Linked DNA regions of Ovis aries. The protein of the gene in region 1 interacts with the protein of each later gene in a biochemical or structural test. Links are inferred from orthologs where the notes say so. Each region holds a gene or a part of one and is shown in the gene's direction. Other genes may lie near its edges.

Region 1 (5,877 bases):
AGGGAGCCAGGCTCCTTTAATACCTTGGCCACCTGGTCCCTGAAAGAAGAGGGGTTGGGAACAAGGCTCATGTTAAGTGACTTGCTCCAGGTTGGGGATCTATTAAGAACCAGGAGTTAGATCACACTGGCTGGCTCCTGAGGCTATTTGCTGTTGAAAGGATATGGCTGTGGATTTGGTGTGCTGGGTTCAGGGATCTTAGAGCTTCCTTTCCCGACAGATCTGGAGGCTCCCCTCTCTAGGCCCCTTTCTGCGGTTATCTGGATGTTCGTCAGTCTTTCTTCCCACCCAGGCATCCTGTACTCTCCGCCTCCCAGTGCTCAGCCCTGCCTGCCTTTTGGAGTAGACTTCATGCCTTTAGCTGGGGAGAGGACCAACCGTCTTTCCCTACGTGGTCAAGGGTGGTCTCCAGTCAGCTGTGGAGACCTCACAAGGGGTCACCCTGAAGTTTCTTTTAGAGCAGAAAAGAGAGCTGCAGGGCCCCAAGTCAGGCTTGGGAGGGGGTGCAGGGCTGTGACAAGAGGGCTGGTGCTGGGCTGGGTAGGGGGTGGATGGGCTGGGGCAGAGGACTTGATGGACCAGGGCAGGGGCCGTTGATGGACCGGGGCAGGGGCTGTTGATGGACCGGGGCAGGGGACTTGATGGGCTGGGGCGGGGGTTGGGCGGACCGGGGTTGGCAGGTGGATGGCAGGGTGGGGCGTCAATGGGCTGGGGCAGGGGACTTGATGGGCCGGGGCGGGCGGGGTGCAGATGTGGGGGCAGGGTTCAGTGGCGTGCCGGTGAGGGCTGACGGGCACATGGGCCGGGTCAGGGGAGGTGCAGGCGGGGCAGCCCCCGTGCTCCCTCAGGAGGTCTGGCTTGCAGATGCTGCAGGACTGCCCCAAGGCCCGCCGCGAGGTGGAGCTGCACTGGCGCGCCTCGCAGTGCCCGCACATCGTGCGCATCGTGGACGTCTACGAGAACCTGTACGCGGGGCGGAAGTGCCTGCTGATCGTCATGGAGTGGTGAGCAGCCCGACCCTGCTCCCCGCCCGGTCCCCTTTCCTTCCCAGGACTGCAGGCTGGGGGCGCTGAAACTCAGCATGCAAGCACCTCGTTCTTCTTGGAGGGTAGTGGCTTGCGCGCTAGTGCGATGTCACGGCCTCAGTCTAACTGTGGCTTTGTTTCAGTTTGGATGGCGGAGAACTGTTCAGTCGAATCCAGGACCGAGGAGACCAAGCCTTCACGGAAAGAGGTAGAAAGGGTCTGTCGCGGGCCCAGCTGGGCGGCGGGGCAGCGGGGCTCCAGGGGCCTGCTCCCAGGGAGGTGCTCAGGCCCGCTGCCCACCTGCTGCTGGGGCTCTGCCCGCTCCTGCACCTCGCCTTCTGGGGTGGGTGGGGGCGTCAGGGGCCTTAGGCTTCCCGGGAGGGCTCTTGCCTCAGCTTTTCAAACCTAAGGACGCATCTTGTGACTTGGCTTCTGGCTCCCTGCTCCCGTCTCCTCCGCAGAGGCTTCAGAGATCATGAAGAGCATCGGCGAGGCCATCCAGTATCTGCACTCAATCAACATCGCCCATCGGGATGTCAAGGTACCAGCTGTTTTTACTGCCCACCCAGCCCCCAACCCAGGGGGCCCGGAGGCCGTAGGGGTCAGGGCCACGGTCGCCCTCGGAAGGGTCCCCAGGCTTGTCCTGCGTCCTTGCAGCCTGGCTCCTGCCGCAGAGTGGGCAGAGCGCCTCTCTGCCCCGCAGGCCCTGTCCTCTGGGCAAATCCCCCTCCCGGCCGGGAAGCCTTCTGAGGCCGTGCTCCTCAGTTACCCCCCACACCCCACCTTTGGTCTGTGTCCCTGTGGCGCTCACTCTGTCTCTGCATCAGCGTCTTACTCCCACGCCTGCTGTGATATCTGGGGAGGCAGGGGCTGAGGGTCCCGATGGTGTACGGATCATAGGGGCCGGACAGACGGTTGCTGAATGAGGGCGGGAAGGAAGGGAGGAATCATTCCCCTGCGGGTTTCTGATGGCCGCTCACAGGTTCAGCAGAGATGCTCCTTGTCTCTCTCTCTCTCTCTAGCCCGAGAATCTCTTATACACCTCCAAAAGGCCCAATGCCATTCTCAAACTCACTGATTTTGGCTTTGCCAAGGAAACCACCAGTCACAACTCTCTGACCACTCCTTGTTACACACCATACTACGTGGGTAAGTCTGGAGAAACCCTGGGAGCCCGTCTTTGCCCGGAGCTTCTCCCACAGCCTCCTCTTGCTGGTCTCAGGGCCCCAGGGCCCAGAAGAATTGTGTCTGCCGGCCCTTTGTAGCCCGGTTCTGATGTGACCTGACCTGAAGTGGGCTTAGCAGGTCTCGCTGGGCCTGAAGTGGTATGGGAAGTTATGTGTGTGGGGTTATGGGTGGAAGTTTGTGCCAATGTGCACTTTCACTGAGAAGAGCTCTTGTTCCCGTCAGACCCCCAGGGGGGTCAGGGATGTGCCTCTGGTCTGGGGCCCCCAGCCGACTGCACAGGGGAAACTCTCAAAATGGGTTTGTCAAACTAAAAGGCAGTCTAAAACGCTCTTGCAGTTCAAGACTTGCTTTATCTTGAGATTCTGGCCCTCGGGCTCCCCGCTGAGGAGGGTCTTCGGGTCTCCTTTACCCAGCCCTGGGCCTGGGCTACGACTGCCCCCTTCTAGGCCTAGCTGCAGTCCCGTCATGATGGGCTGAAGGGTCGGGTGGGCACATCACCCACAGAGGGCCGGGGTGGATCCTGGTGTTCCGAGGCCCAGGCCCACTGCCTTCGTCTTTGTTTGCAGCTCCAGAGGTGCTGGGCCCAGAGAAGTACGACAAGTCCTGCGACATGTGGTCCTTGGGCGTCATCATGTACATCCTGTGAGTGTGGGGCGGGGCTTGGGGGCGCGGGCTGGGCAGGCGTGGACCGAAGCCTCTGCCTCTGGGGTGAGAGGAAGAGGCCATGCTTAGTGTCCCCTTCTGGATGGGGTGCCCTGGGGGTCCTGCGTGTCCCTTCTCAGTGCTGAGTGGACTCTGACAGCTCATTGCTACGAATTGGCTAATGGGCAGGAAGATGTGTGGTTTAGATACTCGGTATGTTGGATTCCTGGGCCCTGTCCCTGACTTTGTACCTGAATCAGTGAGTCTCAGTTTCTCTGTGAACTTTGCAAGAAGTCCTGGTGTGGGACCTAAATAACATCAGCTCTGTTCTTCTCTTCCTGCTTCCTGTCGGCTCAGGCTGTGTGGGTACCCCCCCTTCTATTCCAACCACGGCCTTGCCATCTCTCCGGGCATGAAGAGTCGCATCCGAATGGGCCAGTATGAATTCCCCAACCCAGAATGGTCAGAAGTATCAGAGGAAGGTAAAGAGCGCGCGCGTGCGTGCGTGCGTGCGTGTGTGTGTGTTCCTGTGTGTGTGTTCCTGTGCGCGCGCGTGTGTGTGTGTGTGTGTGTGTGTGTGTGTGTGTGTGTGTGTTCCTCAGGGCCAAGCATCTTGAGTGGTCTATGTCCATGCCCCCTGTAAGTCTGGCTTCTCCCTGAAAACTGGGAAGGAGCAGGAGGGGCGGGTAGCCCCTGAGCTGTCTCTGGGCCCTGTGAGCACCCTGCTTTCCCCCCGCAGTGAAGATGCTCATCCGGAACCTGCTGAAGACCGAGCCCACCCAGCGGATGGCCATCACCGAGTTCATGAACCACCCCTGGATCATGGTGAGCCCGGCGGGCTGGAGGCGCCTGGGTCCACTGGGCCGGTCCCTGGGGGCCCCGCCCCGCTCCAGGTCTTTACCTGGACCCTTGTCTCTGCCCCCAGCAATCGACGAAGGTCCCTCAAACCCCACTGCACACCAGCCGGGTCCTGAAGGAGGACAAGGAGAGGTGGGAGGACGTCAAGGTGAGGGGGCGCCTGGCCGGGGGGTTCAGTGGTGCTCAGGGAGGCGGCTGGTTCTGCATCCTCTCACCCCGTGTCATCTGGTACCACAGCGACTCTGAGCCGCTTCCCTAACCTGGCTGTGGGCAGAGGCTTCTGTGTCAGTCTAAAGTTGGCTGTGGCCGTTTCCTGCCAGCCTACACTCTGCCTCTGAAAGGTCCTCTGCAGTCTCCTCACTTTGCAGAGGAGGAAACTGAGGCCTGGGTGGGGCCCGGGATTGGGGGGCGTGCCCTGTTCACAGTCGCCCAGCTAATGACTGGCTGGAGCAGACGTGAGACCAGGTCTCCTGGCTCCTAGTCGGTCCTTTTTGCTCCCCCAGGCTCGCTGGGGGGCTCTGGGCCCTAGGGGGGCTCTGCTGAGCCGGCCCTGGGCTCTCCGGCCGGCTTGCCCTCTGTCTCCGCTCCCGCACGTCACCCCATCCTCGCCTTGCTCCGTCTGTGGTCTCTGATGTCTCTCCCGGTCGCCACCCCCAGGAGGAGATGACCAGTGCCTTGGCCACGATGCGGGTCGACTACGAGCAGATCAAGATAAAAAAGATTGAAGATGCGTCCAACCCTCTCCTTCTGAAGAGGCGGAAGAAAGCGCGGGCCCTGGAAGCCGCAGCCCTCGCTCACTGAGCTGGGCCTGCCGCTCCGCTGGAGGACAAGCAATAACTATCCACCCGGCTGGATTTTTTAAACAGAGACCCAGAGCCGCCTCCTCCCGCTTCCCCTCCTCCTCGGCCGCGAGGGGCCAGGACCTCTTCAGAGGCTGCGTTCTGCCTTCGGTTCCGGCCACCTGCCTGAGAGGGGGCGCCCGGGAGGCTGGGGCCCCGGGGAGAGGGAGCACCGTGCCCTCGACCCTATGCTCATTTGGCAATTTTATCAGTAATTTGACTTAGAATTTTTACGAACCTTCTTTTATTGTTCTTGCCCTCACTCCCGTCCGTGTACCCCAAGCCCCGTCCTGTCTGGAGACTGCAAGGGTTTGCGGTGTGTCCTAGGGTGTCTGTGGAACCCTCTTGAGGGGCGTCCTGCGTTGCGCCGCTGGCCCCCTGACCTCCCCGCTACAGCCCCAGGTTCCCACTGGCTGAGGCCTGCCAGGAGCTGCAGACCGTGGGGCCTGAGGCCCGGAGGCTCTGCTGAGCCCTCGGATGTCCCCGGTGTGCCAGACGGATAGTGAGTGTGAGTGTGTGTGCGTGTGCGTGTGCGGGGCCCCTGCCGCACTCGGAACCGTCTCCCCTGCCCAGGCCCACCCTGCCCGTGCTGGGCCTGCCCAAGTGCCTGGGAGCCTGTCTGGCCCTGAGCCAGGCCGCCGGCCCCGCCTGTGTGGGCCGCTCCCCGCGCAGACAAGGGCGCATGGAGCACTGGCGCAGCGCCAGGAAGACTGGAGCCCCGCTTGGAACCCTCCGCCAAGGCGCCGAGCTGTCAAGTCAGGCCTCTGCGCCCCCTTCCTGCCGTTCTTAACCTGCTGGTGTTCTCTCATGTCTGCAGCCGTTTTGCAGCAGGCCCGCCCTCAGCCCACGTGGGTGAGCCTGGCTTTTGAGTGCCTCCTGGGCTCCGGGTTGTCGGTCCACAGTCCCTTGGGGGCGAGCATGGCACCCCCCGTGGCCTCTGCAAGTGTCCATGGCGCCGCCCAGCGGGCGGGTGGGGGAGGCTTTGCACCAAAGATGTCCCGACTCTGCCCCTCTCCCACCAACTGCTCCCTCACCAGCTGCTCCCTCGCCCCCCGCCCCAAACAACTCAGCGACGTGTCCAGGCCAGTGTGGGGTGGGGAGGCCCCGTGTTAACCTGAGCACTGTGGGGAGGGCCCCTGCACCGCGGTCCCTGGGGCAAGGGGCGGTGGTGCTTCAGCTCTCATCTCCCTCGGGCAGGGCTGGGGGTGCCCGGGGCCTTCTCGGGGTGCGAGGGCAAGGCACCGATTGCCCGCAGCGCCTCCCCGCTTCTGACGGCGCCCAGCTCTCAGACTGTTGTGAACTCTTGTCGTTTTGTATGAGCAAAA
Region 2 (6,343 bases), on another chromosome or scaffold:
ACTTTTTAGCTAGCCCGCGGAGCCAAGGCCCCGTCATGGTGCTTTTGGCGGGTCCCGCAGTCGCGGGGGTTGGGGGGGGAGGTAAGAGGCGCCACCTGGAGGGGGTGGCCCTGGGTGCGGGTCGGGACTGGCCCTGGGCCCCGCCCGCTCCGGGCCCCTACCCCCTGACTTTCCACCCCCGCTTCTCCGCCCCTCCCCCGTCCCCCCCCCCCCCCGCCCCGAGCAGAGCTTCGCGAACCCTCCAGATTTAAAGACCAATGGGCCCTTTTCTTTTCTTTTTTTTTCTTGCGGGGAGAGTGGGGGTATAGAAAACTGAAATAGCTTCACATCAGGACGCAGACTAACCTTGTGGTTTTAACGCGCACCCTATTCTGTCCTGAAATCTGGAACTCATTACCTCATCACTAAGAAACTGCACGAAACCGCTCCCCCCACCCCCCTCCTCGAAGCGGGGACGAGAGAGAGCAAACAGCCCTTTAAGAAAGAAACCTACATTTGAATGATTTAAATTAAGGTGGATGGAAGTTATTTCCCCTTCTGGCGCTTGCCAGATTTCAAGAAAAGCTGAAAAATGGGAGCAGGGGGAGGGAAGCAACAGGCAAAAGAAGACACCAAAAGAAGAAAAGCAAGGGGGCAGCGGCCAGGTTAAAAATGGGGGCCATTAACTTAAGTCACAGGGGACAAATAAAAGCAGAGCGGACTGGGGATCACATACATTGCACATACATTGGTTCATGGCTGCAGCAAAGGTGGTGTGTTTCATGAAGATGGAAAAAAAAGACAACAGGTTCCTAAAACAGTTGTGATTTGGAAGGTTTCCGGGTTTGCTCGGAGGCCGACAAGTAAATAAGAAATACAGTAAAAATATGTGTGGTGGTGGAGGCGGCGAGAGTGCGACTCCAGCGCTCTGCTCCGCCCGCCCGGACCTTTTCAAAGAAACGTGCTCATAATGGGGTGACCTAATTACATCGCAATGGAACCCGCTCTTAGCCACTCAGCGCACGGGGTTTCATAACAGACCCGGCGGCCTCGAGTGCTGGGAAGAAACGTGCGAGGGCTGAGGAGGCGGCCGGGCACGCGGGGAAATAGGAAAGAAACGCAGCCCCGCGGTTTCCACCTCGGTCTGTGGGGGACGCATTCGCAACTTTTTATTTGGGTGGGTGGAGGGGTGTCCGAACAAACAGTAAATAAATATATACTTTCCAATTTTCAGAAGAGTAATTGCCAACTCGAGGCCTTTCGGTTTCGAGGATCCCATGCCCCCTCCCCCCATCCCGCCAAAACAGCGCAGTGTGACAAGCCATATGTTCCATTCCCGTGAGGGCGGGGGAGAAGCAACAGTAAGTGTCGCCTCCCCCCATCTTTGTATCTTCATTCTTACCAAAGTAACTTTTTTTTTTTTTTTTTTGGTTCCAGCGTCTGTGGTGTGTATACGTGTTGCTTAGGGAGTTTCGGGCGCAGCCTGTGGTTCAGAGCGCGGGGCAAGTTGTGCGTTGCTGGGTGATTTTTTTTCGGGGGTGGGCAGAAGGGCGTTCGTGAGGATTCAGGTTTGTTTTAGAAAACTATTTAAAGATTACTGCGTGCAATAAATACCACTCCCAGGCCTGTGAAAACAAACAGCCCGGGCGGGGGTCTTTTTCGTGGAGCATCCCCACCACCCCGCCCCCCCGGCCCCCCGCCCCCCCGCCCCGGCCCAGACTTGGAGGGTGTCCGCTGCACAGCGAACGCCAGTGTAGACGCGAGCGGCGCGCGAAATCGCTTGGTGCTCGCCGTCGCCAGGCCCGGTCCTCCAGGGTGTGTGTGTGTGTGTGTTTTGGGGGGGAACCTCCTTAATCCTTGTCCCTCACCCCACCCCTGAATAAACAAAACCCTAGACGTGAACGCTCTGTGCTCCCCGTATTTCCAGTTTCCTCTCCCCGTGGGATTTGCGGAGGGGAACCAAGGGCTGAAAAGATCCCGGGGAAAGAGCGAAGTTGTGCGGGAACTTAGAGAAGTTTCAAGGGAGATCGGCACAAGATGGAAACCGGGCGCTTAGGACGGGCTTCTGCTCCCGCTAGCAAAAAGAGAAAGTCGAGCCCGCCTTCCAGCCCTACCAAAAAAAAGAAAAGAAAAATAACAACACAACAACAAGAACCCCGAAGAGTGTGGAATGAGTGATGTCACAGAGCAGCGCTCGCAGGCTGACAAAAGGGGGGCGCCCCTTCCCCACCCCCCGCGCCGCGCGCGGCCCCAGAAAGGGGCGCCGGCAGCCCGAGGTAGACAGGCGAGCGGACTCGAAAGTTTTCCTCTTTAAGAAAAAAAAAAAGTTGTGCGCGGCTCGCAGTGGGTTTTTTTTTTCCCCCCTCTTCGCCTTCTTTCCTCGTCTCCCCTCCCCCCTCTTCCTTTTGAAAGTTTCTTTTTTTTTTTTTTTCCCCCGAGTTTGACCGCATGGCTGATTCAACTTCAGTGTCAATCAACTTTTTTTTCTTCTCTTCCTCATTTAAATAAGTTTAAAGCTCCTCCTCCCCCTCCGGCCCACCAAATCTGAAACTTATATAAATTGGGCTTCGCGCGCCGCAGCTCGGGAGAGTCGGAAAGGCGAGGGGCGCCGGGAGCAGGCGTGTGGGACTCCTGACCGGAGAGCCGGAGGCTGCGCCTTCCCCGCACCGGGACCTTCGCGACACACCAGACCCTCGTCCCTGCCCCGCGCGAGCGCCCAAGATGACCACCACCCTCGTGTCTGCCACCATCTTCGACTTGAGCGAAGTTTTATGCAAGGTAAAGTGGGGCGCACCGCTTGCTTTTCAAAGTCTTTTTTCTTTTGTCCTCAAAAAGAATCTCCAAAAGTTTAGGTCTGGACGGGCAGGGGTGGGGGAGAGAAAGAGGCGAGATGGTGGTTTTTTCCGCCTCATTTTTCTCCCCAGTTTGAAGGAATTTGGCTTTCTCCTCCCCACCCTTTGCGTTTCGACTGTTCTGGCGGGGATTACCTGGGAATCCAGAGACCAGAGTTTTAGGGGCGCAGTGTGCGTGGGGGCTTCCCTGGGCAATGTTTGGGATTGGGGCAATTTTTCGGTAATTCTTTTCGTCCGTGACGTGCCACTCTTGAGCCCGGCTTCGCTTGTCCGCTGCGTTTCGGGTGTCGCCGCTCCCGGGAGGGAGTTCGAGTCTCTCCAGCCACTTTGCCGGACTGCAGGTCGGGAGGTGCGGGTCCCTCGGGAAGGAGAATCTCGGGATGATGTTTTGCTGGGTGATTTCCCCCTCTGTTCTGGAGAGGCTGGGGATCTGCGAGAAAAAGGCCAAGAGTTGTGATTCAAAGCATGTTGTCAAACGAGTTTGCATTGGGACTTCAGTTCGCCCCAGCTCGACAGGCTTCCTCTTGTGATAGCCGATCGTGCTGCAGACTTTGGGGGTGAAAGTGGCGCTCGGGTTCACCCGCTTCCCTCTTTTCTGAGAAAATGAGATTCGTGGATATGGACGGGATTGGGGGGGGGCGGTGGGGGAGACACGACGACAAAATGCCCGTCTGAGCTCTAGGGTCTTGGCGAGGAAGGATTTAATGAGGGCCTCCTTAAGTCGTATGGCTTGCCAGCCGGTGTGGAAAAAGGCGAGTTTTAAATCCGAAATATTTATTCCAGAAGTGCAGTTTAAGGGTATATAACAGAAGCCTGTGGATGTTAGATTTTTTTTTTTCGCCCCCTCTCCCCGGTTTGAAAGAGAGAAGCTGCTTGGCTGCTTTTAATTGCTAAAGTGTTTTGCCTTCTTTTAAACACGTCGAGTCATGTTGCTGTCTTTTCCTAGCTTGCTTCTCCAGTCGGTGCAGCTGCCAGGGCCCCAGGGCTGCAGAGTTGGGGTGCAGGGACACCCTGGAGCTGAAGAGCAACATCAAAAAGTTTGAATTTCAGTTTCCTTCCCTCCCTGTGCTTTTCCAAACTTCAGTTGCCCTGGCGGCTGCCTGAGCTAGCCGGCACTTCTTCCTTCTTTTCGCGGCTCTCTAGCTCTTTGATCTATTTCTCTTTCTCTTGCTCCCTCCCCCCTCAGGACTTTTTAAATGAACCTCATTGTTGGGAACTGGCTCTCCACTTGGTTCCTGTAATCCGCTCCAGGGGGTGGTTGCTGTTACAGATTCCCGATCCCCCGCAGCTGATCCTAAGGGGCCAACTTTAGAATTTGCACAATGACACCCACATGGGCCTGGAAGCCAACTCCCAGGTCCCCTGCTCACACCCTTTCCAAATCTTGAGTACAGGTTGGGCAGGTGAATTGAGTCCCATTGGAACAGAGACCTGCCTGTGGTGCCTCTGCCCCCCGCCCCACCTCCCCCACGTCCATTATTGACTGGGAGGAGGCTGGGGGGATTTGGTGCTTTCCTTTTCCTTCCCACCTGCAGCTTTGCGTTAAAGATTAAACACTGGCGCTCTTATCCAAGCCTGCTCTTGCAGCCAGGAGACTAACTGCAAAGGCATCCTCTCAGCGGAGGGGGTGGGGTGCGCAGTGAATGGTGGGAGAGATCATTGTAGAAGGCTCCCCTTCTGGGATCATGGGAGTTTTGTATTCAGGGATCACATCCCTCTCCCCGTAGCCGCCCCCCCCCCCACCCCCATCAGGGATTTCTCCTCTAGCCCCTCCCTCTCCCCTCTCAGCAGCAAGGTAAAGTGAAGGCAGTCTGGAAACCTGTTGCCAAAGCAATAGATGCTTCTGAAGGAGGAAGTTGAGAGTCTTCGGCCAGGCTGTGTGTTTGTGTGTGGGGGGCGGAGGTAGTCAGTTAAGCAGGGACTGATTGAAAGGAGACCTAGCCCATAGTCTCCTGCGGTTTACCTTTTTTTGTTAGGAGGGTGGGAAATGAGAGTTTGTGAATTGTGTGAGATATTTTCAACTGAGGAAGGTGAAGTTGGATTTTCTGGATGAAAGTGGTAGCTTTGGGGACAGGATATGACAGTGCATTCCAGGGATCCAGGGACTGGCATGGAGTAGGTGCATGTGTGAAACAATGTCTCACATAGGCCAGGATTTTTGTAGTTTCTTCTGCCTGGGACCAAAGTAAACCCTCTGGGGAATGGGAGAAAGAGGAGGAGGGGGCTTGCCGGCGGAGAGGTGAGGATGGTGAGTTCCTTTGAGAGGGAGCATTTCTGATCGAGGAGGGGGCTGCCCTTAGGGGGTACTCTTCTTGGGCCTGGTGGATGGCCTTTGCCACTAACCACAGTCTCTCTCCTCTCTTTCCCCTCCAGGGTAACAAGATGCTCAACTACAGTACTCCCAGTGCCGGGGGTTGCCTGCTGGACAGGAAGGCGGTGGGCACCCCTGCCGGCGGGGGTTTTCCCCGGAGGCACTCGGTCACTCTGCCCAGCTCCAAATTCCACCAGAACCAGCTTCTCAGCAGCCTCAAGGGTGAGCCAGCCCCAGCTCTGAGCTCTCGGGACAGCCGCTTCCGAGACCGCTCTTTCTCAGAAGGGGGCGAGCGGCTGCTGCCCCCCCAGAAGCAGCCGGGAAGCGGCCAGGTCAACTCCAGCCGCTACAAGACGGAGCTGTGCCGCCCCTTCGAGGAGAACGGAGCCTGTAAGTACGGCGACAAGTGCCAGTTCGCCCACGGCATCCACGAGCTCCGAAGCCTGACCCGCCACCCCAAGTACAAGACGGAGCTATGCCGCACCTTCCACACCATCGGCTTCTGCCCATACGGGCCCCGCTGCCACTTCATCCACAACGCCGAGGAGCGCCGTGCCCTGGCCGGGGCCCGGGACCTCTCTGCTGACCGTCCCCGCCTCCAGCATAGCTTTAGCTTTGCTGGGTTTCCCAGTGCCGCCGCCACCGCCGCTGCCACGGGGCTGCTGGACAGCCCCACATCCATCACCCCACCCCCCATCCTGAGCGCCGATGACCTCCTGGGCTCACCCACCCTCCCCGATGGCACCAATAACCCCTTCGCCTTCTCCAGCCAGGAGCTGGCGAGCCTCTTTGCCCCTAGCATGGGGCTGCCCGGGGGTGGCTCCCCGACCACCTTCCTCTTCCGGCCCATGTCTGAGTCCCCTCACATGTTTGACTCTCCCCCCAGCCCTCAGGATTCTCTCTCGGACCAGGAGGGCTACCTGAGCAGCTCCAGCAGCAGCCATAGTGGCTCAGACTCCCCTACTTTGGACAACTCAAGACGCCTGCCCATTTTCAGCAGACTTTCCATCTCAGATGACTAAACCAGGGTAGGGAGGGACGCCCCTGCCTACTCCCCTCCCCCACCCCCTCATCCCCTCCCGACATCCCCTACCCTTACCTCCCTCCCCTTCTGATTCCTGACAAACCCCTACATTAACAAGGTTAAGCTCAACCCCTTTCCCCCAGAACCTTGGAATGCCCCCTCCCTCTCCCCTCTTTA

Evidence for each region.
Region 2: of the proteins of MAPKAPK2 (region 1) and ZFP36L1, one has a biochemical effect on the other in vitro, tested with the Homo sapiens proteins (2 studies listed by BioGRID). The link is inferred for Ovis aries from reciprocal best matches to the Homo sapiens genes MAPKAPK2 and ZFP36L1.

What each region holds. Positions count from the first base shown.
Region 1 is NC_056065.1:4,329,889-4,335,765, forward strand, and holds part of MAPKAPK2 (MAP kinase-activated protein kinase 2), read left to right. Parts: intron 1-864; coding exon 865-1,004; intron 1,005-1,168; coding exon 1,169-1,233; intron 1,234-1,486; coding exon 1,487-1,566; intron 1,567-2,047; coding exon 2,048-2,174; intron 2,175-2,779; coding exon 2,780-2,855; intron 2,856-3,212; coding exon 3,213-3,337; intron 3,338-3,594; coding exon 3,595-3,680; intron 3,681-3,780; coding exon 3,781-3,861; intron 3,862-4,370; coding exon 4,371-4,514; 3' UTR 4,515-5,877. UniProt on the Homo sapiens protein: Stress-activated serine/threonine-protein kinase involved in cytokine production, endocytosis, reorganization of the cytoskeleton, cell migration, cell cycle control, chromatin remodeling, DNA damage response and transcriptional regulation.
Region 2 is NC_056060.1:78,699,383-78,705,725, reverse strand, and holds the start of ZFP36L1 (mRNA decay activator protein ZFP36L1), read left to right. Parts: upstream 1-2,562; 5' UTR 2,563-2,700; coding exon 2,701-2,757; intron 2,758-5,204; coding exon 5,205-6,164; 3' UTR 6,165-6,343. UniProt on the Homo sapiens protein: Zinc-finger RNA-binding protein that destabilizes several cytoplasmic AU-rich element (ARE)-containing mRNA transcripts by promoting their poly(A) tail removal or deadenylation, and hence provide a mechanism for attenuating protein synthesis.